Canis lupus familiaris: one gene and its partners. The protein of the gene in region 4 interacts with the protein of the main gene of each other region in a biochemical or structural test. Links are inferred from orthologs where the notes say so. Each region holds a gene or a part of one and is shown on either strand. Other genes may lie near its edges.

What was found.
Region 1: the proteins of RB1 (region 4) and UBTF form a complex in vitro, tested with the Homo sapiens proteins (2 studies listed by BioGRID). The link is inferred for Canis lupus familiaris from reciprocal best matches to the Homo sapiens genes RB1 and UBTF.
Region 2: the proteins of RB1 (region 4) and MCM7 form a complex in vitro, tested with the Homo sapiens proteins (2 studies listed by BioGRID). The link is inferred for Canis lupus familiaris from reciprocal best matches to the Homo sapiens genes RB1 and MCM7.
Region 3: of the proteins of RB1 (region 4) and CASP7, one has a biochemical effect on the other in vitro, tested with the Homo sapiens proteins (2 studies listed by BioGRID). The link is inferred for Canis lupus familiaris from reciprocal best matches to the Homo sapiens genes RB1 and CASP7.
Region 5: the proteins of RB1 (region 4) and USP4 form a complex in vitro, tested with the Homo sapiens proteins (2 studies listed by BioGRID). The link is inferred for Canis lupus familiaris from reciprocal best matches to the Homo sapiens genes RB1 and USP4.
Region 6: of the proteins of RB1 (region 4) and CCNE1, one has a biochemical effect on the other in vitro, tested with the Homo sapiens proteins (9 studies listed by BioGRID). The link is inferred for Canis lupus familiaris from reciprocal best matches to the Homo sapiens genes RB1 and CCNE1.
Region 7: the proteins of RB1 (region 4) and MRPS18B form a complex in vitro, tested with the Homo sapiens proteins (2 studies listed by BioGRID and IntAct). The link is inferred for Canis lupus familiaris from reciprocal best matches to the Homo sapiens genes RB1 and MRPS18B.

What each region holds. Positions count from the first base shown.
Region 1 is NC_049230.1:19,050,645-19,054,783, reverse strand, and holds the start of UBTF (nucleolar transcription factor 1), read right to left. Parts: upstream 2,801-4,139; 5' UTR 2,397-2,800; intron 2,090-2,396; exon of another isoform or gene 1,932-2,089; intron 703-1,931; exon of another isoform or gene 571-702; intron 217-570; exon of another isoform or gene 92-216; intron 1-91. UniProt on the Homo sapiens protein: Recognizes the ribosomal RNA gene promoter and activates transcription mediated by RNA polymerase I (Pol I) through cooperative interactions with the transcription factor SL1/TIF-IB complex.
Region 2 is NC_049227.1:9,437,535-9,441,564, forward strand, and holds the start of MCM7 (DNA replication licensing factor MCM7), read left to right. Parts: upstream 1-1,230; 5' UTR 1,231-1,357; coding exon 1,358-1,388; intron 1,389-1,832; exon of another isoform or gene 1,833-1,912; intron 1,913-2,200; exon of another isoform or gene 2,201-2,224; intron 2,225-2,234; exon of another isoform or gene 2,235-2,377; intron 2,378-2,482; coding exon 2,483-2,562; intron 2,563-2,855; coding exon 2,856-3,020; intron 3,021-3,195; coding exon 3,196-3,320; intron 3,321-3,406; coding exon 3,407-3,587; intron 3,588-3,891; coding exon 3,892-4,029; intron 4,030-4,030. Other genes in the region: AP4M1 (AP-4 complex subunit mu-1), read right to left, coding at 52-148, 228-334, 677-765, 862-919. UniProt on the Homo sapiens protein: Acts as a component of the MCM2-7 complex (MCM complex) which is the replicative helicase essential for 'once per cell cycle' DNA replication initiation and elongation in eukaryotic cells.
Region 3 is NC_049249.1:24,916,752-24,920,251, forward strand, and holds part of CASP7 (caspase-7), read left to right. Parts: intron 1-2,633; coding exon 2,634-2,770; intron 2,771-3,228; coding exon 3,229-3,357; intron 3,358-3,500. UniProt on the Homo sapiens protein: Thiol protease involved in different programmed cell death processes, such as apoptosis, pyroptosis or granzyme-mediated programmed cell death, by proteolytically cleaving target proteins.
Region 4 is NC_049243.1:3,108,227-3,111,726, forward strand, and holds part of RB1 (retinoblastoma-associated protein), read right to left. Parts: intron 1,739-3,500; coding exon 1,622-1,738; intron 347-1,621; coding exon 290-346; intron 203-289; coding exon 171-202; intron 89-170; coding exon 12-88; intron 1-11. UniProt on the Homo sapiens protein: Tumor suppressor that is a key regulator of the G1/S transition of the cell cycle. The hypophosphorylated form binds transcription regulators of the E2F family, preventing transcription of E2F-responsive genes.
Region 5 is NC_049241.1:40,305,720-40,309,749, forward strand, and holds the start of USP4 (ubiquitin carboxyl-terminal hydrolase 4), read left to right. Parts: upstream 1-1,230; 5' UTR 1,231-1,287; coding exon 1,288-1,388; intron 1,389-4,030.
Region 6 is NC_049222.1:122,576,746-122,580,850, forward strand, and holds the start of CCNE1 (G1/S-specific cyclin-E1), read right to left. Parts: upstream 2,801-4,105; 5' UTR 2,728-2,800; intron 1,594-2,727; exon of another isoform or gene 1,577-1,593; intron 1,254-1,576; 5' UTR 1,221-1,253; coding exon 1,198-1,220; intron 1,110-1,197; coding exon 1,022-1,109; intron 815-1,021; coding exon 746-814; intron 1-745. UniProt on the Homo sapiens protein: Essential for the control of the cell cycle at the G1/S (start) transition.
Region 7 is NC_049233.1:573,446-577,713, forward strand, and holds the start of MRPS18B (28S ribosomal protein S18b, mitochondrial), read left to right. Parts: upstream 1-1,468; 5' UTR 1,469-1,547; coding exon 1,548-1,625; intron 1,626-2,702; coding exon 2,703-2,811; intron 2,812-2,910; coding exon 2,911-3,008; intron 3,009-3,135; coding exon 3,136-3,204; intron 3,205-4,268.

The DNA of each region.
Region 1 (4,139 bases), on a different chromosome or scaffold from region 4:
CTCGGGCTCCCGACGCCGTCCCCGCCCGCCTGGGCGGGTGAGCAGCCGGAGAGAAGCGGCCTAGCCTGCCCCCCGCCCCCGAGCCACCCACCCCGGCCGGAGGCGCCGCCACCGCCCAGCCACCCCGACGCACACGGAGGAGCCCGCCGCAGAGGCGCGACCACGGCGGGAACCGCCGCCTCCTCCCCCGAGCTTGCGGCCCAGCCCCGCCGGCGCCCCCGCCCCGGCCTCCGGGGAGCTGAGCCAAGGAGAGGGCGGGAGGACGGCGGCCGGGAGGCGGGGGCGCAGCGCTCACCGGCCCCGCCGCCCCCTCCGGCGGCCGGCGAGAACTGCGCCTGCCGGCTCGGAGAAGCGCGGGCTCCTGTGCCCGCGGCCGGGGCTCGGCTCGGGCCTCGCTTCCTGCCCTCCCCTCCCCCGGCTCTCGGCGTCCTCTCCAATGCCCTGATCCTCTTTCGTCCAGTCCCCTGCCTGGAGGGCGGCCCGGGTCTCCCCCGGCGTCTACGGCACCCGCGGTTCGCTCCCCGCCGCCCGGCCCCGACCCCGGCGCGCGTCCTCAGCCGCCTCGGTTACCCGGCGCAGCGCGGCCTCCGGGCTTCCCGCTCCGGCGGCTCCCTCCCCGGCTCTGAGCGGCGGCGCCCTCCCCCGCTCGGCCGGGCACAGCCGCAGCTCCCTCCCGCGGCGGCAGCGGCTCCTCCTCCGGGCGCGGCGGCGGCGGCGCTGGGGCGGCGGCTGCTGCTGTGGCGGCGGCGGCGGCTGTGGCTGCTGCTGCCTGCTGCTCCTCGCGGCGAAAAGCACAAAGCACAGCGCCCTCCGCCTGCAGGCAGCCCGCCCGCCGCCCGCCCGCCGGCCCCGGCCTCAGCTCGCACACCCCCCGCCGCCGCCGCAGCCTCCGCCGCCGGAGCGGGGAGGAGGAGGGAGAAGGGAGGAGGAGGAGCGGGAGGGGGGGCGGGAGAAGCGGGGCAGCGAGCGCGTCCTTCCCCGTAGAGCGCACACCGACCCCCGGGGAGCGAGCGCCAGCCCGCCCGCCTCGCCGGCTCCGCTCCCTCCCACAGCCTGCCCGGGCGGGCTCCGCGGGGGGCAGCTGGGAGGAGGGGCGGGAGCTGGGGGGACCCGGGCGGCCGAGGCGGAGGGAAGGAAGGAGGGGAGGGGGGTGGTGGTAGTGGTGGTGGTGGTGGTGGTGGCGGCGGTGGCGGCGGCGGCGGCGGCGGCGGCGGCTGCTGCTGCTGCCGGGGAGGGGGGGCCGGGGCAGGGAGACACGCAGCCGCCCGGATGGCGGCGGGGCTCGGAGCCGAGGCGGGCGGGCGGGCGCCGAGAGCGACCTCGCCAGACCCGCGGGGGAACTAGCAGGCTCGGCCGGCGCGGGAGGGAGGGCGCGAGGCGCGGCCGCCAGAGACGGTGCCCGGAGGGCCCCCCGGCGGCCGGGGAGGCTGAGGGGGTGCCCGCAGCCCTGCTTCGGAGCTCTCCCCCAAGTCCTCCCAGCTAAGATTCGGGTTTCCACGGCAGTCCTCACCCGCTCCCTTCTCCCGCCTCCTGGAGCGGGCGCTCCGCGCCCACCCTCATCCCCGGAGCGTGGCCACCGGCTTGGGGCGCACGCACGCCCATCCCGGCGCCAGGCTTCGGCGCCTACCTCGCGGTCCCCTTGCTTCCGAACAGCACACACACGAAACTTAAAAAAAAAAAAAAAAAAAAAAAAACCGTACAAAATGCCCTGCCTGCAAATTAAAAAAAAAAAAAAAAGAAGTCCCCTTTGCTCCTTTACACCCCGGAAACGGCGAGGGGGCGATGGGGTCCGGCGGAGGAGCTGCTCTGGGAGCCGGTTCAATCCAGCCCGGCATGGCTCCCCAGGCCTGCCCGGGCGCATGGAGATCGGCGCCGCCGCCACTCGCAGCAACCCCTCTCCCCCGAAATCCGCGGAGCCCGGGCTCACTTACCGAGCGTGTGAATGGGAGCGCGGGCCAGGGGCGCCTAGGGGTGCGGCGGGCCGAAGAGCGGAGCCGCAGCTCCGCCGCAGCCGACGCCGGGGCAGCGAGTCGCCAGACAAAGCCCGAGATGGCGAAGCGGAGCGACGGCTAATGGCGAGCCCCACGCGCCGCGCTCCGCCCGCCCCGCTCCGCCCGCCCGCCCGCCCGCCTCGGCGCAGCGCAGCGCCGCTCCGAGCGCTCGCCCGTCAGAGCCGCCTCGGCGCCGCCGCCTCCCGGGCCACCCCGGCCTCGCCTGGCCCCTCCGCCTCCTCCGGGCCACTCAGCCTCACCCCCTTCCCTCCCACCGCGATGGGGGCTGCACGAAAATAAAAAAAGAAAAAGAAAAAAATGCTTTTCTTTCTTTTTTTTGGTGGGGGGGCAGGGCGGGCGTGTTGAGACTTTTGGGGTTTTTTTTTGCCCCCAGCTCGCACTCACCTGCGGAGCCGCCGGGAGGGCTGGGGGTGGGGGCGCGCGGGGCTGGAGCCGGCGAGCGCGGGTTGAAAGCTAGCCAAGCTCTGCAGCGCCCGACCCGGGCGTATACGCCGCCGCCAGTCCCCGCAGAGAAATCGTCCTCCTACCCCCGCCTCCATCGCTCTGCGTTTCTCTTCCAATCAGCCGGTCGCTTGGCGGCTCCTCCATTCTCCGGCCAAGCCCGCTGCCTAGAGCGAGCTCCACTCCTCCATCTGCTAGCCCGGTTCCTGGCTCCCCTGCCGGGGCCGGCGAAGCGACGTAGGGCCGGAGGGGGATTTGCGAGGGAACCTGCCTGCTTCCCGCTCCCATTGCTCCCTCCCCGCTGCCTCCTGCCTCCTGCTTCTCTCCTGCGTCTTTCCAACTCTCCCCTGTCGCCACTGGTGTGTGTCTGAGTGTGTGCGCGGCTTTTTTTTTTTTTTTTTTTTTTTTTTATTGCTCTTTGCTTTTGCAACCCTGAAGCCAAAGCGAGGGGGTGGGGGATAAAGGAGGGGGGGGGGTTACAAAAAAAAAAAAGTAAGAAGCTCTTAGATTTGCAACACATTGAAAAACCGGGGGAGCACCCCGCCTCGCCGGATCTCGGCTCCCCGCGAGGGCCTTCCGGGTTTTAGAGCGAGCCTCTCGTTGTTCTCAACGCCCCTCACCTCCTCCGGGTTTAGGATCCGAGGTGTCCGATCAAAAAGTTCTCCCCTTGGGCCGTAGCAAGGGGTGTCAGGGTGGGAATTAGGGGGATTTCTCAAGAAGCAGTAGCCTCCCCCCACCCCCCACCCCGGTTTCGGTAGTTGGGCCGGGGTTGGGGCGGAGAGCGTGATCCCGGTGGGTCTGCGCCAGGAGCTTCCGGGGCGAAGCGGGAGCCAGGAGACCGCGCTTCGCGCATCTCCCCCTCGGTCTCTGCCTCCAGTCCCCTGCCAGCTCCCCCTTTAATTTTTTTTTTTTTTTTCCTCTCCTTTAATCTAATTTCTTCCAACTCCACCTTTGTTGTTACCGGCGTCACGCCCGGACCAGCCAATCCCCGCCATGCAATCAGCTTGTCAAAAAGGCTCGGCCAGCCCTGGGAAAGCAGGCCGCGGGCGCTGGGCCCCCTCCTTCCCCCAGCGGCGGCGGGGAGCCGCGAGGGGAGCCTGGCACCCGGGCCCCGCCGCCCGAGCCGCCGCGGGGCAGCCTTCGCCCGGGCCTGCGGCACTCCGCCGTCCTGCGGCTCCGGGGGCGAGAGGCCGGGGCGGGGACCGCCATCCGCCCTCCCGGGGCTGCCGGCTGCGGTCGTCGGTCTCTGCCTCCCCTCTTCCGAGGCAGCAGGGTTGTCAGGACGCAGGGAGCCGGAAGACGAAGAGCGCCCGCTTCCCACAGGCGAGCCTGCGGTCTGGGCCGCCGCTGCCCGCGCAGCGCCATCGCGCCGGGCTCCGGGGCTCCCGGGCTGCCCGCCTCCCGCACCGACTCTGCGGACTGCCCGCACCGCGGCCAGCCGGGGCGCCGGCCCCTCCGGACTCTCCGCTGGCACACAGCCTTCTCCATCCTCACTCAGCGGCCTCCCTGCCGCTGTAATTCCTCTTGTCTCCTGGGAGAAATGAGATTCCTTTCCCAGGACTTCCACAGCCCACATCTGCCACGTCTTACAAACAGGGAGGAAAACCTTGTCAAGATCTGGTGTGACCGGATTTTTGAGTGGGCAGGGCACGTAGGAGAGGCCGGTTGACCTTGTTGCTAATGAAG
Region 2 (4,030 bases), on a different chromosome or scaffold from region 4:
AGCCCACATTTGCAGGGCACTGGGCACTTGGGGGAGACCCCTGGCCCTCACCAGCACTTCATCCAGGAGTTCGTAGACAAGAGCCACGTTTCGGGAGATGGTCCCCTCACTCAAGGAGCCACAGTAGTCGCCCAGGAGAGTGGCCAACCTGAGAAAACAGGGCTGTGTGTGCATACCCTTCTACGGTCGTATCCCCGCGCCCAGGTGCCCAGCCCTGCCCTCCTCACCGGGAGAGCAGCTCTAGAAGGCTGAAGGGAGAAATGTTTTCTGAAGTCGTGGCTACCAAATAGAGGCCGCTGTGTCTGATGTGAATGAAATGACGGTCATCGTGGTGCTGAGGCGGAGGCGAGGAAGAGAGCGTTAGGAAGACATGTGATTAAGGACCCGCGAGACTTGCTAGCGGTGGGCCTTGGGGCGAGCCAGGCACCTCGCCCCCGCCCCGGGACCCAGCTGCCTAATGTGGAAGTGGAAGTGGCCCTGGTACCTACCCCGGACTGGCGGAGCTGCGCCCCGTAGAGTGTTAGCGCTCCAGAAACTGTCGCTCGGATTACTTGGCAGAACGTACCCCCCGCCCCGCCCGCGCCCCCCAGCGGCAGCTCTCAGGGAAACGGTCCTGGGAGGAAGGAGGCGCCCCCCAGCCCTCCGGGAGCCTACCCCAAGCCCCGCCGCAGGTTACCATGACAACCGGGGACTCATCTCCGGGCAGTCCCGTCAGCTTCCGGTAGAAGAGCTCGGCCACATCCCGACCGCCACTGTCCCCGCGGACTGACCGGGTGGAAGGACAGCTAAGGAGTCGGCGACACGGGCGGGCTCTAGGGCACTACTCCCACCCAGGCCTCCCGCCCCGCAGGTCAAGGATACAATCCTTGTAGATGAGCGGGTCCCCTTTGGAAGACAGAATGAAGAACTGGGAGATCATGGTGGTTGGAGAGTCCGCAAGGAGACAGCGAAACTTGGGCCTGCCCCGCCCTGCGGCCCCGGAACAAAAGGACGCGCGTAGGCTGGTCCTTTAAGAGCAATTTCTCTCGGTCCGAGCCAGCTCGGACCGCGGGAAACCCGGCGCCCGCCCCGCCCGCCCCGCCCCGCCCCGCCTCGCCTCTCCGCAGCTCGGGTGCCCGCGCCGCTGCCCCGTCACTCAGTCCAGACTCGCCTGGTGATTGGCCGAAGCTATGGCCTGCGGGAGAGTGGGAGGGGCGAAGGGCCTCCTCTTTGATAGGCCCGCACGCGGCGGCGCCCGTCACGTGGGGGGCGACGTTTCGCGCCAATTTCGGTTGGTCGGCAGGAGCCCGCCGCGCGGACGCTTTCTGCTGTCCTGGGAGTGAGCGCCTTGAGCCCGCCAGCTGCTGCCGCACGGGCGATGGCAGTTAAAGACTACGTGCTCGAGAAAGGTGAGGATATGCAAACTTGGGAGGAGCGGCCTGCGCGGGAAGCCTGCGGTCCAACACCTGTTGGCGTGAGCCGGCGTCCTGGGGCCCCGGGGCGCGCGGCCAGAGGCAGGGTCGAGAGGCTGCAGGGCAGAGGCAGACGGTGCGTGGGAGGCGCGCGGGCCGCGGAAGTCGAAGAGCCAGTCATGCCTGGGGAAGGAGTGGCGGGTCGCGGTGGGCGGGGGAGGGTCGCGCCCAGGAGAGACCGGGACCTCAGGAGACCCAAAGGGCTTTCCGCCCCCAAGGACAAGGACCCCGGGTCCCCCCTCCCTGCGCACCCTTAGACATTCGGAGCGCCCGCGCCCTCTCGAGACGCGCCGGAGTCCCGGGGGCGGGCGGGCCCCGGCCGCTGAGTGCCGGGATTGGCCATTTTAGGCCAACCTCTAAGCGGAAGTGAAGGCGGGCGGAAGTTGCGCGACGTCGCTGGAGGGAGTGTCGTCTGTAAACAGTGTCCTTCCGCGCCGCGGCCTCGGAAAGAGCTGCTCAGGGTGGGGGCGTGCCTGAAACTGGGGGGCTTCGCGGGAGGCCGAGAAAGGAGGTGGTCGGGTGGGACGGAGTGGCCCTTGACGAGCCGGCCAATCGCCGGACGGGCTCCCGCCCTGGGCGGAGGAATCCCGGGCTGTGAGGCGGCTGCATCTGGGCCCATGTGCTTCTTTGTTTACTAAGAGCGGAAGCAGTGGCGGGAGAGGGGGTGGGGTGCAGGCTGGGCCTAGTGGAGAGACTGAGGAGACCGAAGAAAAAGAGGAATCTCAACGCGTGGAAGAAAAACTGAGAACCTTGAGCTCAGAGCGTGTGGCGGGGTGTGAAAGGCCTTTGGGAACGAGTACTGAGATTTGTAACCAGGGGAGACACTGGGATTCCCTGGGGGAAGGTTGTTGGGTAAAGCTCCTGACTGCCCGGGGCCCCTTCTCTAGGTGAGAATAGACCTGTTAGAAGGAGTTCTGCTCTACTTGGTAAGAATTACGAAGTAAAAGCGAGTTTTTTAAAGAAGCGTATCAAGGGGTTTTGTGGTAAAGTATCTGAAAGACTCATTCTCATGATTTACGTTTTCCTTGCAGAAAAGGTTAAGAAATTCCTACAAGAGTTTTATCAGGATGATGAATTTGGCAAGAAGCAGTTCAAGTACGGGAACCAGTTGGTGAGTCATAGAAAAAGTGGAGGGAATGGGTGGTTGCTTAAGGAGCTGTAAGAGGTGGCCTGGCTTGCTTCAGTAAGTGTACATGTAGGTAACAGCTTCAGTGTGATTCTTAATATTTAGTAAGTGGAAGTCATTCTGTGTGGGTAATGAGCAGTGTGCTCTTTAGAAGTTAGAGGGCTGTCTTTGGGGGGCTGAGAAGTGAGTATTGCTTTGTCTCATGCTTCTTTCTACCCTTGTGGGTGGGGGACACTGCTGACCATGGTGTACACAGCTCTGTCTCGTCCTTACCCCAGGTTCAACTGGCTCATCGGGAACAAGTGGCAATGTACATAGACCTAGATGATGTAGCTGAGGATGACCCTGAGTTGGTGGACTCCATCTGTGAGAATGCCAGACGCTACACCAGGCTCTTTGCTGATGCTGTACAAGAGCTGCTGCCTCAGTACAAGGAGAGGGAGGTGAGTGGTTGCAGGACAACACAGGGCAACACAGGTTGCTTTCCAGAAGCTTCTCAGATGCTGGTTTTTCAGAGTTGGCAGAAAGGGGGCAGTAATTTCTGCCTGGTTCCCTTTGTGGTCTTTCGTTCTCTAGTCCTGCCACACGTTTTTTCTTCTATCTTTCTTTTCTCTTGAGGTGGTAAACAAAGATGTTCTGGATGTTTACATTGAACATCGGCTGATGATGGAACAGCGGAGCCGCGACCCTGGGGCAGCCCGAAGCCCGCAGAACCAGTACCCTCCCGAACTCATGCGCAGATTGTGAGTGGTCTCAGCGAGGAAGGCTGTGGAAGCTTGTGCAAGCTTGTGCTTCAGAACCTTTGTAATGACTCTTTTCTCTCCCTTAGTGAGCTCTACTTTCAAGGCCCAAGCAGTAACAAGCCTCGTGTGATCCGGGAAGTACGGGCTGACTCTGTGGGGAAATTGGTCACCGTACGTGGAATTGTCACTCGTGTCTCCGAAGTCAAACCCAGGATGGTGGTGGCCACTTACACTTGTGACCAGTGTGGAGCAGAGACCTACCAGCCGGTATGTAGGGAGCAAGGAATAGGAACATATTTAATTGTTAGTGGTTTGCCCCAGAATTACTTTTAACTCCTGGTAGTTATCTGTTGTTTGCTGTGTTCGTTATGAAACACAACTGTGTGTTTACTTATCATTGTTTTTCTGGTCCGTAGTGGTCTTTCCATCGTCCTTTATGGGTTTTTGGTTCCTATGCTTATTGACTCAGGACAGGTCAAAACGTTGGCAGTGTGCGATGTGTGCTATGGGGAAGAGGAAATGTTGACTCAGGTGACGGACTCATGGCTTTTTGCTTTTTCTTGCATTCTAGATCCAGTCTCCTACTTTCATGCCTCTGATCATGTGCCCCAGCCAGGAGTGCCAGACCAATCGCTCAGGAGGGCGGCTGTATCTGCAGACACGTGGTTCCAAATTCATCAAATTCCAAGAGATGAAGATGCAGGAACATG
Region 3 (3,500 bases), on a different chromosome or scaffold from region 4:
TCTCTCTCTCATGAATAAATAAATAAAATCTTTAAAAAAAAAAAAAAAGAGTACCTGCAGATAATTTTCCACATGCACAGAGGACACTGTCAGTATGGGTTATTGACAGGGAATTCAGAAGTAAATCCTAGTCACCCCCCCAACCCCCACATGGCATATCCTTGAATGCTACAGAAGCTCACTTTACCAATATTTGTCCCCTCTGAGCTTTTATGGAGGCCCAGGAGAGGGAAAAGACTCTACAAGAGTATTACTGCCCATGAAATTGGCCATATTCTTCTGTGACGGTCACAGAAGGCTCTGTTTTCTAGGACCTCCAAGGAGGTCAGTGCTCTGTGAAGGGTCTCATGGGCAGATATCTGAGTCCCAGTCCAGTGCTTGTTTGTGCTGCCTTCCTGGGGAAAGAAAATGTAGGGAGGAAGAGTCCAGAGAAAGTGGAACAAATTGAGGCTATTTCTCTTTTAAAAATCCGGTGATATTACAGAAGGATGTTGGTCTTGTAAAAGTGGAGGATAGAGTGGGGTTACAGTTGAAGAAAAGCAATAAGCAATCTGGAGATTGGACACACAGAGTCACTTTGTAATCTAGACCCAGGTAGGAGGGGTAACAGCAAAGGCCATGTCCTTCCAGAGATTTTGAGAAACTACTACAGGTGAGATTCAGTGAAACTCAGAATGAAATGCCCACATTTGTCAGGTAACAAGCTGAGTTTTTATTTTCACCTTCTCCTCCCAATGTTTGACCAAAATTTTGGCATCATGCTGGACTAGTCTTCTGACAAATGCTCTAGGTGTGGGGCTCTGGAGCACTGACGTGAGATGCTGATATCACCTGGGGCCAATGTGGTGGTCTTTGCTCATCACTACCTGGCCGACCTTGAACAACCCCTGCCCCCCTGTGGACCTGTTTCCATAACTGTAAAATGAGGCAATGCACTTGATGCATTCATTCATAGAACACCTCTTTTTACCTCTAATTCCCCTGACTGGAACCTCTTGTACGGTATTTAACAGAAGTGGCAAGAGTAGACATATTTGACTTGTTTTTGACCTTAGAGGGAAAGCATTCAATGCCTCCTCACTAAGTATGATATCTGTGAGTTTTTCATAGTTACCCTTTTCAGGTTGCGTTAGTCCCATTGTAATGCTAGTTTACTTAGCATTTTTATCATAATAGAGTATTGGATTTTGTCAGTTTTTTCTGCATCGGTGGAGCTGTTTAGGTGGTTTTTGTCCTTTATCTTTGTCTAGTAATATGATGGATTACATTAATTGATTTTTGGATGTTAAACTAACCTTGAATTACTGGGATTGGTCACACTTGGTGATGGTGAATAATCCTACTCGGAGATTGCCAGATTAGGCTTGCTAATGTTTTCTTAATGTTTATATCCAGGAACAGCTGGATGGCTCAGTCGGTTGGGCATCCAACTCTTGATTTTGGCTCAGGTCCTGATCTCAGGGTGGTGAGATCAAGCCCTGTGTCCAGCTCCATGCTGATCATGGAACCTGCTTAAGATTCTCTCCTTCTCCCTCTGCCCCTCCCCACTCACATGCTCACTCTCTCTCTCTCAAATTTTTTTTTAAATTTTACATCTATTATTCATAAGGAATATTGGTCTGTAGTTTATAAAAAATATTTATTGAGCAACTTATGTGCCAAGCATTGTTCTAGGGATTGGGGAGTCAGCAATTTTTCAGAACAGAGAGAAAAATCTTTTCTCTCATGGAGTTTACATTCCCCTGGATGACCAGCACAGCTGCTTTCAGCTCACATTCTGACATTTTTTTCTGTGTCTGCTCAATGATGTTGCGTGTTCCAGCCTCCATGCCAGGCTTCTGGTAAGCTGGATGGCCAGCGTCTGGAGATTGGAAGGGGATGACTTTCTTTTTTAAATTGCTCTTCCATTCTTCCCCCTTTTAAAGTAACCACTTCTCATATGAGGTGTCAGTGTTCTGACTATGAATTCTTTTATCCAATATGATAGTCATGAGATTCATTGATGGGGCTTCGTATTGTCGTGGTTTGGTCACTATTACTGTTATATGCTATTTCATCATATGCATATTCAGCAGTTTATCCATGACACTGTAAATGACATTTGAATTATTTGCTGCTTGGGGCCCTTGCTGAACAGCACTGCTGGGCACATGTGTAGATCAGTTTCCCTTTTTGTGTTTGATCAACTTTAGGATGCAGGGATGCACCCGATCTATGCATGCGCCCAGCAGTGCATCCCTGCACCCTAAACTGCTGTGCCACGGGCTGTGTTTAAATTCAGTTTGGGTAGATTCTGCGAGTTTTCAACAATGGAGGTAAAAAGTAGGTTCCCACCAGCAAGGAATGACATAGCTCCAGGTGCTATAAACAGCTCCAAGTGTTACAAACACGTTGTAGCCATCCCAGCCAGTATGCCCCAGGATCACACTCTCTCTGGCATCCAGTAAAACAAGGCAGGAGATCCTGTTCATTTCAAATATGACCAATTAAATGGAGCCATCTGCCCACCTGGGGCCTTTCCTCACAGGTGGTACAGCTTTCCTGGGCACCCCTGCCATGCTAGCAGTGGAATCCAGAGGCCATTTGTGTCCAGACATCCTCCACGGCCCCTGACTCGCTTTATATTTTCCAAGTAGGAAGAAGAAAAATGACTCCGGGAGATCAATCAAGACTGCCCAGGACCAAGTGCCTACATACCAGTATAACATGAATTTTGAGAAGGTGGGCAAATGCATCATCATAAACAACAAGAACTTCGACAAAACAACAGGTAAATGTTGTGGGCCAGGGCTAACCTTTCCCGTTGCCTTCAGCTTGTATCAGACTTCACTTAGAGAAGGGTTGTGCCCACCTGCTGTGGCAGGCAACACCCTGCCTGATGCTGTTCATGGCCCGGGAAGAAGGCATGAGGGACATCGGGAGCTTCAAGTCTAAGGTCCCACCTGGTGCATGAGGTGATGGGGGATGTGAACAAAGGGCTAAGAATCAAGGGGAGCTGTTTGGCCTTGCTGGGAGTAGAGGGTTGCTGTGACGAGGCTCACCTTCTGTGGGCAGGCTGGATGACCTTCTCCTTTGAGTTTGCTTCTTATTTCAGTTGCTCATGCACACAGTGACCTCGGGGGAGCATTTACACCAGAGCCCGTAAGGCTACACTTAGTGCCTTGACCAGATGCTGCTGGCAGGCAGGTCTCAACCAGGGATGGCTCATCCTGCGCTTCCTTCCCACAGGGATGGGCGTCCGAAATGGAACGGACAAAGATGCCGAGGCTCTTTTCAAGTGCTTCAGAAACCTGGGTTTTGATGTGGTCATCTATAATGACTGTTCTTGTGCCAAGATGCAAGATCTGCTAAAGAAAGGTGTGTGTGTGTGTATGTCTCCCCGCCTCCCACCCTCCCACCTCCTCCCTGCTCCGGGACGGAGCAGCATGCCCCTCTTGGGAGGGTGCCTCTGTGGGATGGAGCGATTTCCGCCTGGGCACCCTTGCCTTCCTTAGGGTTAC
Region 4 (3,500 bases):
ATTTAACTTACTGCTATATGTAGCCATTACAACCTCAAGAGCACATGCCAACAAAGACATATGAAAGATGTCGTCATTCAGGAGTTTGCTAAAGGAAAAGAAAAGAATGATTTTGAAACATTTACTTTTATAAAAAGAAGGAACTATTTTACTAAAACTAAAGAATTTACCTAAAATTTTGAATGGATAATCGTTCTTCTTCCTAAAACAGATAAAAAAAAAAAGTTTACCTGATGCCTTTTTTGTGTCAGCATTAAATTTTTTTTCTATTATGTTCTTTTTAACTTACTGATTTAAGCATGGATTCCATTACTCGATAATACAATCGGACTCCAAGTTTGTATCGCTACAAAAGAAAAAAATTAGATTCCACTAATTTAGAAAACCATAATTATTAATTTTTAAGAAGGCTTCTCCTGAAATACATTTCTGATACTTCTTAGGAATATGAACACTAAGAGATCACAAAAGCTACCTTGTCTAAAACTCAAGACTTCCATGTAATATGGTGGTTAACATTCCCAATAAATTATCAAGAAGGAAAGTCCAGTTCTTGGTTTTCCTTAATTTCACTTCGGTCTACATCATTCAGCAGAGACACACACATACACACGCGCACACACACACACACACACACACAGAGGATATGCTATACATCTGGTACTATTTTACCCATTTTACATACTAATGTAATACTTTGTGGCCTAGGACATGTATTTTCAGGATAACTCTCCCAAGACTGAGAATAGCCTGTCCATAAAACTGGCAAAGGCAAAAATCAGACCCAACTGATCTTATCAGCAAAAAGTTTTAATCAAATAAATAATTCTCATTAGTTCAAAGAATAACTAAATTTTAGATACATACAAACCATATTCCTTCATTCAAATCATAAGCATAAATTTCATATACAACCAAAAAAGACTTAAAAATATTTAAAACATATTATCAAAATCAAAATATAACTTCACTACACTGAAATAAAGTATCTAGATTAGTTTTCCAACACGTTTTTATATGTTACCTAATTCTACACAACAAAGCAGAGCAAATTTAGAAATTGAATCTCAGAGAAGTTAAATGAAGCTCATAAATGGTAGAACCAGATATAAACCCAAGGTTCTGATTCAGAGCCCATACTTTTATCCAATATATTAGTATTAGACTTTGTGAAATAAGAACAGTAATAATAAAACTAATTTCATTCAATAGTATCCCTGAAATAGCATGCATATGATCCCATTCATGTAAGTATATGCATCATAAATATTCATATATGTAGAAGCCAAAGAATATATACCAAAAATTTAATAGCATCAAAGATTTTAATTTTTTTGTACTGATATTTTTTAAATTTCTACATTTTTTTCTAAAACTGCCTACATGTTTACTTTTGGTTTCTGTAATGGTGTAAGGGGCATTTTTTGTAAAATAAAGTTTTCCATAAACAGCAGCATACACAGGCAGCCAAGATACAGAATCTACCAATATAGGACAAATACTATTATAATATTTTTTTACAATTTGGAAAGATATTTCATTCTAAATTATTTATCAAATAGTGACAGTAAAAAAAAAAAAAAAAAAAATAGTGACAGTAATCAAACTGAACTCAAGTTACCTGTGATCCAATTTCCATACATCCCTGTCCCACAGCTTTAGCAAATTTCTCTTTAAAGATGTATCCAACATCCTTCACTCTTTTCAGGATACTTTCCTTTGGATTCACTGTGCAGTTCTTTAAAGAGGAAAAACATAAATCAATGTTGAGGATACCGTTTAATCAGAATTAACATTTTCTGTCCTATAAGATATAACTTTACGCTTTCAATTATACTGTGGAAACACCTCCACAAAAACTAGGTAAAAACAACTACTGAAAATAAGAGGAACATAAAGAATTCCATTTTAGGATGTTAGTGACTAAAAAATATTAAAGTACAAAAAAATCCCTTTTATCTAAATTTTCTGCTGCTAACTTAAAGAACAGATTTGTTAGCCCTTCCACCCACCAAAAAGAGCCTCATAGACATTACAAACTGATACCATGGAAATACAAAGGATTGTAAGTGACTACTATGAACAGCTATACACCAACAAACTGGAAAACCTAAAAAAAAAAGGATAAATTCTTAGGAGCATACTATCTACCAAATCTGAACCATGAAGAAATGGAAAAAATGAATGGATTGATGACTAGTAAGGAGACTGAGTGAATACTCAAAAATATCCCAAAAAACAAAAGTCAAGATCCAGACAGCTTCACTGATGAATTTACTAAACATTTAAAAAAATTAATACCAAAACTCAAACTCCTCCAAAAAATAGAAGAGGAGGGAGCACACTTCAACATAATAAAGGCTAAATATGATAAGCCCACAGCTAACATTGTACTCAACAGTGAAAAGCTGACAGGTTTTCCTTTAAAATCAGAAACAAGACAAAGATGCCCACTCTCCCCACTTTTATTCAACATAGTATTAAAAGTCCTAGCCAAAGCAATTTGGCAAGAAAACTAAGAGGCATCCGAATTGGAAAGGAAGAAGTAAAACTACGTCTACTAACTTATCACATGATATTATACATAGAAAACCCTAAAGACTCCATCAAAAAAACTGTTAGAATAAACAAATTCAGTAAAGTTGCAGGATACAAAATCAATATACAGAAATCAGGTGAGTTTCTATCCATAAATAATGAATTAACAGAAAGAGAAAATAAGAAAGCAATCCCATTTATAATCGCATCTAAAAGAATAAAATACCTAGGAATAAATTTAAGCAAGGAGGTGAAAAACCTATACATGGAAACCTATAAGACATTGATGAAAGAAACTGAAGAAGACAGAAATAAATGCAAAGATATCCCATGCTCATGGATTGGAAGGATTAATATTGTTAAAATGTCCATACTACCCAAAGCAATCTACAGATTCAATGCAATCCCTATCAAAATTCTAATGGCTTTTACACAGAAATAAAACAAACAATCCAAAAATTTGTATGCAACAAAAGATTCCCAATAGCCAAAGCAATCTTGAGAAAGGACAAAGCTGGAGGCATCATACGGCCTGATTTCAAACTATATTACAAAGCTACAGTAATGAAACAGTATGGTACTGGCACAAAACAGACACAAAGATTGGTGGAACAGAACAGAGAACCCAAAAATAAACTCATGTATATAGTCAATAAATTTGTGACAAAAAAGGCAAGAACATACAATGGGGAAAGGACAGTCTTTTCAGTAGACAGCCCTGGATAAAGTAGATAGCCACATGAAAAAGAATAAAACTTGACCACGATCTTACACAATACACAAAACATGACCCAAAGTGGATTAAAGACACTGAAACCATAAAACTCCTAGAAAAAAACAAAAGAGATAAGCTCCTTGACATCAGTCTTAAAGATCTGATATTCTGAATCTGACACCAAAAGTAAAAGCAACAAAAGCAAAAATAAACAATTGGGACTACATCAAAATAAAGAAGATTTCTG
Region 5 (4,030 bases), on a different chromosome or scaffold from region 4:
CTACCAAGTCAAACTTGCCCTTTCACAACTCTAGGGGTCTACAGTCTTTGGTTCATACCCTTTCATGGCACTTACCTATACCATACAGTGCTTGATGCTGGGGTTATTTACGGAAGATCTCTTCTCCATTAGTTTGAAATCAGGCACTGTGACATTTTTTGGGGCAGGAACTGCTAGAAAATGAATGGTGACTCATCAAGGCCAGCTGCCCGGTCTCCCTGCTCTGGGCTTACTTCCCACTCCATGAGGCGAGCTGTGCTTTTTGTATGCAGGGCTGAGTGGAAGACACATAGTGTTCAGGATACTGAATCTTGTTGCAGCAACAAATTATTATTATCATTACTTTTAAAGATTTTAATTATTTATTCATGAGAGACAGAGAAGCAGAGACACAGGCAGAGGGAGAAGCAGGCTCCATGCAGGGAGCCCGTTGAGGGACTCGATCCTCAGACTCCAGGATCACGCCCTGGGCCAAAGGCAGGTGCCAAACCACTGGACCACCCAGGCGTCCCTGTAGCAACAAATTAAGCAGCAACTTGGGCACCTAATGTGGAGAACACACCCAGATCTCTCCTTCTAACCTCGCTGCTATCGCCACTCAGCGGCTGCTTGTTTCCCTGACAAGGCAAGCAGCTAGCTGTGTGGAGGGCTTGGGTTATTCGGTCGTGGGCCATGATTCTTGCGTCTAGACTGTTTGAAAGGAGTGTTAATGACTAGATTAGACCGTCGAGTCCCGGTCCCAAGGCGCAGGTATACCTGCACTCTCCAATATCCCTGCAGGGCTTCCAGGACCGGCACCCGGATCCCCCGTTTGGAAGGCTAAGGACTGGCCTAAGATCTCCAGCTCAAAGCAAGAAAAGCTAGTTCCAGGGCTTCTCGCAACTGGCCCTGGGTTGATCTAGAAAGCAGGCTAACACCGTGGGCCTGGACGGGGTGCCTGAGGGGTCAAGGGGACTACGGTCAGGTGCCTAGAGATCGCCGGGCTCGACGAAGGGATGCAAGTCAGCCCACCTCGCGGCCCCCAGGGCGGCAGAAAGGGCCCGCACGTTTGCCAGTACCCACCTCCTCCTCCGGCCCCCTCCCGGCTCCGCCCCGCACGGGTGGGGAAGGGCCGCACGTGATAGGGAGAAAAGGCAGAAACAGGCGAGCGGACATTCGAGGCCGCGGCGCTAGGTGGGGCTTGGGTACGCGCGCGCATGCGTGCGTGCGTGCGTGCGTGGGCGTGGCCCACAGCACGCCGTGCGCGAGGCGGATGTCCGGGCCGGCTGGGCCGGGGCGGCTGACGAGATGGCGGAAGGTGGAGGGTACCGTGAGCGGCCTGATGCGGAGACCCAGAAATCCGAGCTCGGGGCCTTGATGAGGACCACGCTCCAACGAGGGGCGCAGTGGTGAGCACCGGGCCAGCCTTTCCGCCGCCCAGACCCAGAGGCAGGGGCTCTGGTCCTTAGGCCAGACCTCTCTTTCCCGGCTTGGATAGGGGCCGGGTGGGGGCGGTGTTAGTGACCCTGAGAGGGTGTCCTGAACCTTGTCTCTCAGAAGAGGACCCGTAGAAGCACCTCAGGGAAAGTGTGAGGGTTATCCTTGCCCTTTCGGAGCCCCAGAGGGCGGACCCGGTGGGGGGTAGGGGCTACAGGGTGGGGGAAGGGGCGTGCTCACGGGGACCTTCAGGATGGGAAGAGCCCCTTACCTTCGAGGACTCTCTGTGTGACCTTGAGGGAAGGCGACCACACCTCCCAGACCTCGGTACCTTACTATTAAAGCCAGGGTAACAGTATTTGGCATCCCCACGTTATGGGTTGAGAAGAACATCAGAAGTAGATACTTTTGTAACTTGTAAATTCTCGAACAGATGTCAAGGTTAGAAGTTGAACAAATGTTTGAAAGCTCCGGGTTACTTTGGTAGCAAGTGTCAAAAATAATTGTGGCAGCAGCGTTTCAGTGTGGGGGAGGAGGATAACTTAGAGCCTAGATAAGAAGGTGAAAAGTCCATGGTTTAGAAGAGCAAATCTGAGACAGTAGGCTTCTTAATAAATTAGTAGAAAGGACAGTTCTTCCACTAGTGAAGAGATTCCTGGGTGGTATTATTGTGTGGGAGTAGAAAGCTAAGGCTTAGATTTGCATCGAATATGATTGAACATCGAATCTTTAAGAAATTAGGTGGTGTTTATGCTACTTAAGGTAATTGAGCAGGAAAGGGAAACATTTGGATTAGGAGGAATTCAGATAGGGCTGTACAGCAGGGCAAGCAGAAGTTATCCTGCTTCGGAGTGATAGATGAAGAATATGTGGCAAGATCAGAGAGAGGATGTTTCAGATAGTCTAAGGTCACACTAAAAGTGTTTGGAGAGTATTGTTCAAGGGGTTTAGAGGGAGGAACACCTGGGTGTTTCAGCGGTTGAGCATCTGCCTTCGGCTCAGGGTGAGATCCTGTAGACACGGGATGGAGTCCCACATCAGGCTCCGTGCAGGGAGCCTGCTTCTCCCTCTGCCAGTGTCTTTGCCTCTCTTTCTCTGTCTCTCACGAATAAATGAAATCTTAAAAAAAAAAAAAAAAAAAGTGGGAGGGGGGTTTTGGAGGGAAAAGAGCATTTTTTAAAAAAGATTTTATTTATTTCTTAGAGCGAGGCAGAGACACAGGCAGAGAAGCAGGCTCCGCCCACACAGGGAGCCTGATGTAGGACTCGATTCCAGATCCCAGGATCATGCCCTGAACCAAAGGCAGATGCTCAATCACTGAGCCACCTAGGTGTCCAGGAAAGGAGCATTTTAAAGATTTGGGTGTATATATAGATCCTTGTGGCTTTTGGGAAGCTACCTGATCATTCAGGTTTGTTTTTTATAAAACCTAAAGGACTTTGGGATACCTGAGTGGCTCAATCAGTTTTAAGCGCCTTGCTTCACCTTGGGTCATGATCCTGGGGTCCTGGGATTATCCCTGCATCAGGCTCCCTGTTCAGCAGGGGGTCTGCCTCTCCCTCTTCCCCTCCCCCTGCTTGTGAACTCTCAAGTGCTCTCTCTTAAATGAATAGATAGACAAAATCTTTAAAAAAAAAAAAACAAAAAACCTTGAAGGATTCACCAATATGATTGTTGTGCTTCCCCCCCCCCACAAAGATTTACTCCTCCTCTCTTAATTGTAAAACATCATAGTGATACTTTTTAAAAATTTTTTCATAGTGATACTTTTAAAAGTTAACTTGTCTGTCCTAGACAAGAACTTCTATAAAGATCATTTGAAAAAAAAAAAAAGATCATTTGAAATTACTGAATTACTCATTAGTGAACAGGAATTTACTCATAGGAGGACTTCATTTAAATAAGCTTGAATCCAAAAATAAATAAATAAATAAATAAATAAATAAGCTTGAATCCAATAATTTCCTTTCATTTATTTATTCATTTATTTATTTATTCTTTTTTTTTTTTTTTTTTTTTTTTAAGTAGATTCCATACCCAGTTGTAGAGTGCTGTGTAGGGCTTGAACTCACAACTCTGAGATCAGGACTTGATTTGAGACCAATAATTGGATGCTTAAGCAACTGAGCCACCCGAGCACCTCTCATTCTTTTCTTTTTCTTTCTTTCTTTTTTTTTTTTTTTTTTTAAAGACTTTATTTATTCATGAGACAGAGAGAGAGGCAGGTTCCATGCAGGAAGTCTGACGTGACTCGATCCCAGGTTTCCAGGATCACACCCTGGCCTGAAGGCAGTATAAACCGCTGAGCCACTTGGGCTGCCTGAGAGTGTTTTTATTTTTTTTATTTTTTATTTATTTAAAAAAAATTTTTTTTTTTTTAAATTTATTTATGATAGTCACAGAGAGAGAGAGAGAGAGAGAGGCAGAGACACAGGCAGAGGGAGAAGCAGGCTCCATGCACCGGGAGCCTGATGTGGGATTCGATCCCGGGTCTCCAGGATCGCGCCCTGGGCCAAAGGCAGGCGCCAAACCACTGCGCCACCCAGGGATCCCGAGAGTGTGTTTTTAAATGGGAATTGTGTGTTCTCCAGGTGGAAAGACCATAAAAAATTTA
Region 6 (4,105 bases), on a different chromosome or scaffold from region 4:
ACGCAGGAAATTTGGCGGCAACTCCATGACGGAGAGACAAGAGAAATGGACTAGTCAATTTAAAAAATGTGTTGAGACACAGGTATCGTGACAGAGAATGTTCCACTGATACTCTGGCTGAGGCCAGGCAGAGCCCCGGACGGCAGTCCTCATCACCGTAGGTAACTGCAGGACAGGCTGAGGACCTCCAGAAGGGGGGAAGTTACATACCTGCTGCTCACCGTGTGGTGGGGGGAAGGGAGGTCCTTAGCACCAGGACCGAAAGACAGAAGCGGGGACGGGGAGAATCTGGGTCGCTATGGACACACACAAACCCCCGCATCACAGTCGCAGGAGAGCTCTGTGTCAGGAGCCCTCCCCCAGTTCCCCCGCCTGGAGACAGGGCTCCGGGATGGACTCCGCCCTTGGCTTGCACAGGACTCTGGGTCACTTTCTTGCCCTGAGTCTGAGTTTCCTCAAGGGCAAAAGGAGAGGACTGAGTTATTTGATGTCCACTCTGGTTCTTCGGGACATCAGCGCGTTATCTGTAACCTCGGAGGTGCGGGTGAGGAACCCAACGCCTTCCTGGGGTCCCACGGCTGGCCGAGGCCAATGCCACCGACCGGCCAGGCCTCGGCCCATGGATGAGCACCATGGCCCCCGGTAGAGGAACGGCTCCAGCAGGAGGCAGCGGGGACCGAGCGTCCATCTAAAGCACAAGGCGCAGCAGGCCCTCCGCCCAGGCCCGGTGGGCACGTGAACCTACCTGTCCGCCGCACTGGCCTCTCGCAGTCCTGTCAATTTTTGCAACTTCTTCATCCGGATCCTGCAAAAACTAAGGGAGGGCGACCCCCAGCCCCCAAGGAAACACACCAGACGGCCCAAAGACAAAAAACACAGAGAGAGGAGAGAGAGAAAGGTGGTTAGGCTGCGGGCACCCCAATCAGTACAAGGAGGCAGGGCCCCCGGGGTGGGGGGGGGAGCCCCGCCAGGTAAGGCCCGGGAGGGGGTCTCCTCCCCCACCTGTCTCCTTTGTACTCACAACGGCCACATTTGCCTTCCTCTTCCTGGAGCGCACGGACACGTCGGTGCCAGCGTCGTCCTTCATGGGGTCCCGGTCCTGCGCATCCCTGCGGGCCGCCGGGTGGCACCGAGGTCAGGGCGGGCGCTGGCAGCCTGGGCTCCCCTCCCCCCGCCGCGCAGCCACGGGGCACTCACCTCTCCCTCCTCTCCCTCGGCATGGCTGGCGCGGCACGCGGGGCCGACCTCGGGCCCTGGGGGCACAAGCCGGGCGGGGGTCAGGGCGCGGGCGGGGGCGCGGGCGCGGGGGGGGGCAGGGCCGGCCGCGCGCCCCGGACACCCCTCCCCCCGCGCGGGCGGCGGCGGCGGCGGCGGGAGGCTCGGGCCGGCCGGGAAAATGGCCGATGGGCCCGGGGGGCCTGTCACCCGCCGCGCCGGGTCCGCCGCGCGCCCGGGGCCCCGCCGCCCCCCGCCCCGCCGCCCCCCGGCCCGGCCCGGAGCCACCCCGCGACCCCGCCGCGCCCTGGCCCGGCTCGCCCCCCCCCCACGGAGCCCCGGAGCACGGCCCGGCCATCACCGAGCCCTGTCCGCAGGCGGGCGGCGGGCGGCGGGAGGCGGCGCGGGAGGCGGGAGGCGGGAGCGGCGACGAGCGCGCGGCGGGGCGGGATCCGCGCTGCCCCCTACACCGCGCGGGCGCCGATCCGGCTGCTCCGCGCCCGGCCGAGAGCGGCGACATTAAAAATCCCTGCGCGCCGGAAACCGGCCCCCGGCCCGCCCTCGCACCCTCCCGCCCAGCCTCCGCCCCGCCCCGGTCGGTCCGAGGGCCCTCCAGCGGCCGCGCCCCAGTGCCCGGGCCCGGCCCCGAAGCCGCCTGCAGGCCGCCGACGCGCGCAGACGGGCAGAGGCGCTACGGACGGGGGGGCGGGGCCTGCGGGGGCGGGGCCTGCGGGGGCAGGGGCCTGCAGGGCGGGGCCAGCGGACTGGGCCTGCGCGCCGGAGGGCCGGGGCGGGGCCTGCGGGGCGGGGCGGGGCCTGCGGGGCGGGGCCAAGCCACGGGGCCTGCGCGGCGCGAGGTGCGGCGCGGCGCGGGACGCGGGAGGCCGGCTGGCGCGCGCGCGGCGGGGGGCGGGGCCGGGGCCGGGGCCGGGGCTCGGGGGGCGGCGGGGGCGGCGGGAGGCCGCGTGGCCGGCCCGCGGGGATGTAAACACGGCGCGCGGCAGGGTGCGGGCCGGGCCGCGGGGGCTGGCGGGGAGCGGGGAGCGGGGGTCCCGCCGGCCGTCGCCCCGCCGCGCGCGCTGCCCCTCCCGGCACGTCCTCCCCGCCCCCGAGACGCAGGGTTCCGGGCCGGGAGCCGGGGCGGGCCTGTGCCCAAGGTCACCGCGCCTGGTCGCGGGCCTACGACCTGGGCCGGCAGCCGCGGGTCCGGGGCGTCCGTGGGGCGCCGGCTGCCCTGCGCGCGCCCGCCCGCCCTTCCGAGCGCGCATTCGCCCTGCAGCCACTCGTTGAGCTGACCTCCCGGCGCCTCCCCCGTGGGCCCCTCCCGCCACCTCCGCGGCTGGGGCCTCGGGGCCCGGGCCGCCCCTCTGGCTGAAAGCCCTCCCGGTGGCTCCCGTCGGGCTCCCGGGCCGGGCTGCAGGGCTCCCCTGGAGCTCCGTCGCCCGCGGACCCCCGCCCCACCCGGTGCCCTCGCAGCCGCTGCCCCACGTCCTCCCCCACGTCCTCCCTCACCTCGGCGGGAGCTGCCCTGCGCTGCGCACTCGCCCTCGGGGCTGCTCTTCCCTCCCTAGAACTTCAGGGTCTCCGGTGAACACGGAGTCTGGAGCACCCCGCCCCCCGCACTTCCTCTCCACCTCCTGCCCCGCTGTGTGTCCTTCACCCAACTTGCCGCCAGAAGCCTCGTGCTCCTGGGTTTCCCTGGTCGCTCGCTGTCCCTCTCCCTCCCGGGAGTTCCGGGCTGCAGCCCCCAGCTCTTGGCAGAGTCCCGGGGTGCGGGTGCGGGTGGGGGTGCGGGTGGGGGAGGGAGACACTTGCTCATCTCTGTGGGTGAGTTGTTGAGAAGCATACAGCCGCCAAGTCCTTGTGGACCTTCCAGGACAACGAGACCATCACCTGAAAGTACCTTGTGAACTAAACTTGGCAGAAGCGGCAGGTCCCCATGTCGCAGGTCCCCATGTCGCAGAGGGCTCCCAAACACTCCCAAGACCCTTCCTGATGCACTGTTCCGCCCCCCCCCCCCCCCCCCCCCCCCAAGCATAAGGATCTTCTTGAAGTGAGAGCCTGGGTCTGATTGAAGAGTGTGCCCTGTGTCATCCCCGGAAGTCCCTGCTAGCAGATGTCGGCCTTCCAGGGGCCTGGAGCTGAAGGCTGCTGAGATGACTCACTCAGGTTATCTCAGGGAGACATGAATGCAGGCTCCTGAGCTCCTGGCCCGGTGTCCTTCAGTAATAACAATAAGAGGTACCACGAACAGCATTTCCAAAACGTCAGCTTTGGACTCAGTCCGTCAGAGTGTTCAACTTCATGATAATCCCATCATGTTGCTGCTACCATACTGCTATTTCAAAGAAGGCAACTATCTACTTCTTAGGGTGATTATGAGGATTGGGGTAACACAGCTTACAGGGCTTGGTGCACACTCAGTGCTTAGTAAATGAGAGATATAGGACAATGATAAATACAACATATGTTAGTATTACAGATATCAATATATATCATTGTTATCGATGATAGACACAGACTTTTCCTTAGTGATGGTAGCAACTTACTGTCCCACTAGCGAGAATGAGAGTTCCAGATGTTCTTTTTCCTAGCTGACGCGCTCATCAACAATATGGTCGACACAGAAATGTGGTATATTCATTCAGTGGAATACTGCACAGCAGTAAAAAGGACAGACCACTGGGGCATTCAGCAACATGAAGAAATCTCACAAAAAAAAAAAAAAAAAAAAGAAAGAAATCTCACAGACGTAACCGTGAGCACGAGAAGCCAGACACAGAAAAGTATTACTGTGTGATTCCATTTATTTGAAGTCTCAGAAAAGGCAGAACTATAGCGACAGTGTGAAACCAGCAGTTACTCCTGGGGTGGGGTTAATAACCGGGAG
Region 7 (4,268 bases), on a different chromosome or scaffold from region 4:
GTTTAGACCAAAGGCCCCTTTTTAATGGAGATTAAGTGACCGGCTTGGTCCTTCTCCAGTTCTCTATTTTGTTCTATTGGCTCATTTCTTCCTCTCATTATTTTTGGTTTCACAACGGGAAACGTTGAGTTCTTGTTGCAAGGCTGGTTTTGGAAAATTCGACACTTACTATCCAATTTTTTTGCGACGTCAGCACCTCGGGCTCAGGGGGGGAGGGGGTTAAAATTTTGGAGAAAAAAAACAAAACAACCAACCAGGACCCAAAACTCAATTATTTGGGGGGCCTCATTGGATCAAAAAGTCTCGTAAAAAATTGAAGGCCAACTCAGTATTCATTTTCCCCCCACCCAACTCCATTTAGGGAGGGGGGGTCGTAGAAAAAAAGTTCTGGGTGGATTCAAAAAAGTAAACGCTGGATGAGTGGATTTGGGTGGGTTTGGGAAGGGTGGGTGGTTGATTATTTTTGAAGTTATGTGGTGACGGTCCTTCGGCCACAGATTTCAAGTCCCATGCAGCGTGGGCTGGTGGGGTGGGCAAGACAGGTGGGAAGGGGCAGAAGACACAAGTGGTTGGGCTGGTGGCTGCTGTTTTCCCTTTCCCCCCTCAGGATCCTCTCAAGGGCTTAGATGGTGCTGCGGCTTGTTTCTTTTTTCCTCGTGACCGGCCTGTCTTTCTCCGAGAAAATTCAAACCTGGGATAAAAGGAACACAAGGGAGAAAGATACAATCAACACGGGTTGCTTTAAACACGCACAAGTACCATGATTGTTGTCGTCAAACACCTCCAGGTCCCAACGAGAACACAGCCGCGTTCCATAAGCCATGGTCCTCAAAACAACCCATGCCTAACCCCCTCCCCAGTCCAACAAGCTCAACAATACTTTACCCTCCAACCGACAGGATACCCAAACTTACCTCTAAACGAACCCCAGAATGGCGCCTGTCTGCTCGGGCGGTGTCTTTTATACCCGGACGCCGCCCAACGCGCCCAAACATGCTAGTGAAACGCCCTTGTCGCGAGACATTGTGCGCGAGGCGTGAATTCATTGGCCAACCCGAAAGACAACTCGCTAGCTGATTGGGTAGCCTTCCTTCACCTTCGCTCAGCCCCTTCCCCCTCGGTACTTTCTTCCGCCTCCTTCCTGGCCCCCCCGACAAGCGCGTGACCGGGGAGCCTAGCACCTCCCTTTCCTCTGTTTCCACCACTTCCGTCCTCGAGAACAGTTCTCACCCTGGTTGGTAGAACCGGGCCGGCGCATGCGCAGTGAGAAGATGTCCCTCGAAATCTCCCTCAAAATTGCTTAAAACGCAAGCAGTAAGTATAAGATCTAGAAGTCGTACTGACTGGCTCAGGAAAAACGCAATTTTGAGGCCAAATTCGATTGTGACGCAGTAGAAATTGACTTCTCCACACGGCCCCCCTTTTACGCTTCCGTCCTGACGCAAGTGCGCGGCCGCCTCCCGCACTGCGGGCTCGCCCTCGCCCCTATCCTAGTCAGTGTCTTGGAGCATGCGCAGTCGCCTTTCCGGGATTGGGCGTGCGTCAAGATGGCGGCCTCCGCATTGCGTTCGTGGCTGAGGCCCCTTCCTGGCCTTTCGCCCTTCAGAAGTGCCTACGGAGTTCAGGTAACTCCTTGGAGCACATCTTGTACAACCGCATCTTAGTTATACCTTGTCTAGGGCATCGCTCCTTTGCTGGGAATCCAGGAGCGGAATCTTTCCCAAGTGCTATTATGCCTTGGCTGTCTAGGCAGCAGTGCTCCCACCACCCTTCCCCTTCCCCTTGCTCTCAATACTGTGCGAATTTTTAATCGCCAGACGAGGGAAAAGAGCCTGGTTAGATACCATCCTTTTCCAGCGTACCAACTCGGCTAAAGCACCAGGTGAAGGATTGGGCCTCTTGGTCGTACAGTCAGCTCCTAAGCGTGCATGTGATGTCTAAACTTGTCATTCCCTGGAGTGCCCTTTTTGAGAAACACTAGCTTCTTCCTGCGGAGCGATCCGCGGATAAAGCCAGGATACGTTCTCACGACCTGGGGCCTACTTTCTTAGCTCTCTTTCTCTCACTCAATTACTTTGGGAGGGGGGGGTTCTGTTTTAGTTTTTGTTTTTCTTTTCCCTCTTCTCGGAGTATACATGAGGCCTTTACTTAGTCCTTTAGGTTGAGGTTTTCCCGCAGCCTCAAGTACTCACCACACTGAAGGTTCTTGGTGGGGCCAGGTGAGATAGGAAAACTTGCAAAGTTGGCACTTCCTAAAGTGGGACTGAAGAATGGTGACAGGGGTCACCACGGAATTAATGACAGGCCTGGTGGCTTTAAAGCTAGCGTTAGGACTCAAGTTTGTTCTGGCCTGTGGAATGTTGACCTTCAACTTCTGTAAAGGGGCAATTCAGTGATTCAGGATTGGGTTGAGTTGGAGACTCACCAATGAGCCTCTCCCCACCGGGCATGACTGCTTCCCAGTCATCTATCCTAGTTACCTTCTCACGTTAGGTTCTCCTTCAGGATCCAGAAGACAGAAGAGTGGTTGTTGATGTTACTTCTACCCTAACAAAAATTCTACTTTGTATATATATTGCCTCTATATTCTGTTAATACAATGAGCATGTATTCCTCTTCTCCCTAACATATGGGCAGTGAAACTATCCAGTCCTTTCCTTGAACTCATTTGCTCATTTTTTTTTTTTTTGCCTTCTTTATAGGTTCCCCTCCAGACTCTTTGCACCAAAGGCCCCCCTGAGGAAGATTCTTTGCCCCCAGTTCCCATAAGTCCTTATAAGAATGAACCGTGGAAATATCTGGACTCAGAAGGTACCTCTAAAATGGAAAGGGGAGAATCAAGGGGGTCTGAAATAAACAGAGACACTTCTGCTATCCCTACCAGGAATAATGTGTGGTCTTTCATTTCAGAATACCAGAATCGTTACAGTACTCGCCCTGTCTGGGCTGACTACCGTAGAAACCACAAAGGTGGAATACCCCCACAGCGGACTCGAAAGACATGTATTGTGAGTTTCTGAAGGTGGTACGTGGATGGGATGTGGAGGAGAGTGGAGGCCATAGTGACAGTGGCACCAGCACTTTTTCTCATAGGACTTTGAACATCTTTCACCTTCTAGTTTCTTCTCTCCACAGCGTAGAGATAAAGTTGCTGGGAATCCCTGCCCCATCTGCCGTGATCACAAGCTGCATGTCGACTTTAGGGTAAGGAGAATCTTCTCCAAGATAAGGACTTGGATTCTCTTTGTAGCGCTAGAGAGATTACCACGGGTGTCCCACTACAGTCCATTTGCATTCATTTTCTAGTAGTATGAAAACTTCTTTTCTAGTCTTTTATCTTGTACTGTGGTTCATACTAATAAAGCTTTATGTCTTTTTTTTTTTTTTTTATGAGAGACAGAGAGAGACAGACAGACAGACATAGGCAGAGGGAGAAGCAGGCTGCATGCAGGAAGGCCCGATGTGGGACTCGATCCTGGGTCCCCAGAATCATGCCCTGGGCTGAAGGCAGGCATAAACCACTGAGCCACCCAGGGATCCCCAAAAATGTCTATTTCTAATGGGAGAGCAGTACTCAAAGGTTCATTTATATCTTATATCCATCCCAATTTTTAGCAAGTAGTTTGGGCTAGTGTTTTTCTTTTTTCTTTCTTTCTTTCTTTTTTTTTTTTTTAAAGATTTTTTAAAAATCTTTATTTATTCATTTTTATTTATTTATTTTATTTTATTTTATTTATTCATGAGAGACACAGAGAGAGAGGCAGAGAGACAGAGGGAGAAGCAGGCTCCCCACAGGGAGCGCGATGCAGGACTGGATCCCAGGCCTAGTGTTTTTTGAGGTCGGTTTTGTTGTTTTTTGGGTTTTGTTGTGTTTTGTTTTTTGTTTGGGGTTTTTTGGTCATGTAACTATTTAATGGCATGCCAAGATTTAAGGCTGGAAGGCAGATACATGAAGCAAGATACAGAGTTTAATTGTTTTTCAGAAAGCCTTTATTGCAAGAACAGGACTTGCTCCTTAAAAAGTTCAGAAACTGGGATCCCTGGGTGGCGCAGCGGTTTGGCGCCTGCCTTTGGCCCAGGGCGCGATCCTGGAGACCCGGGATCGAGTCCCACATCGGGCTCCCGGTGCATGGAGCCTGCTTCTCCCTCTGCCTGTGTCTCTGCCTCTCTCTCTCTCTCTCTGTGACTATCATGAATAAATAAATAAAATCTTTAAAAAAAAAAAAAAAAAAAAGTTCAGAAACTGGGACACCTGGGTGGCACAGCGG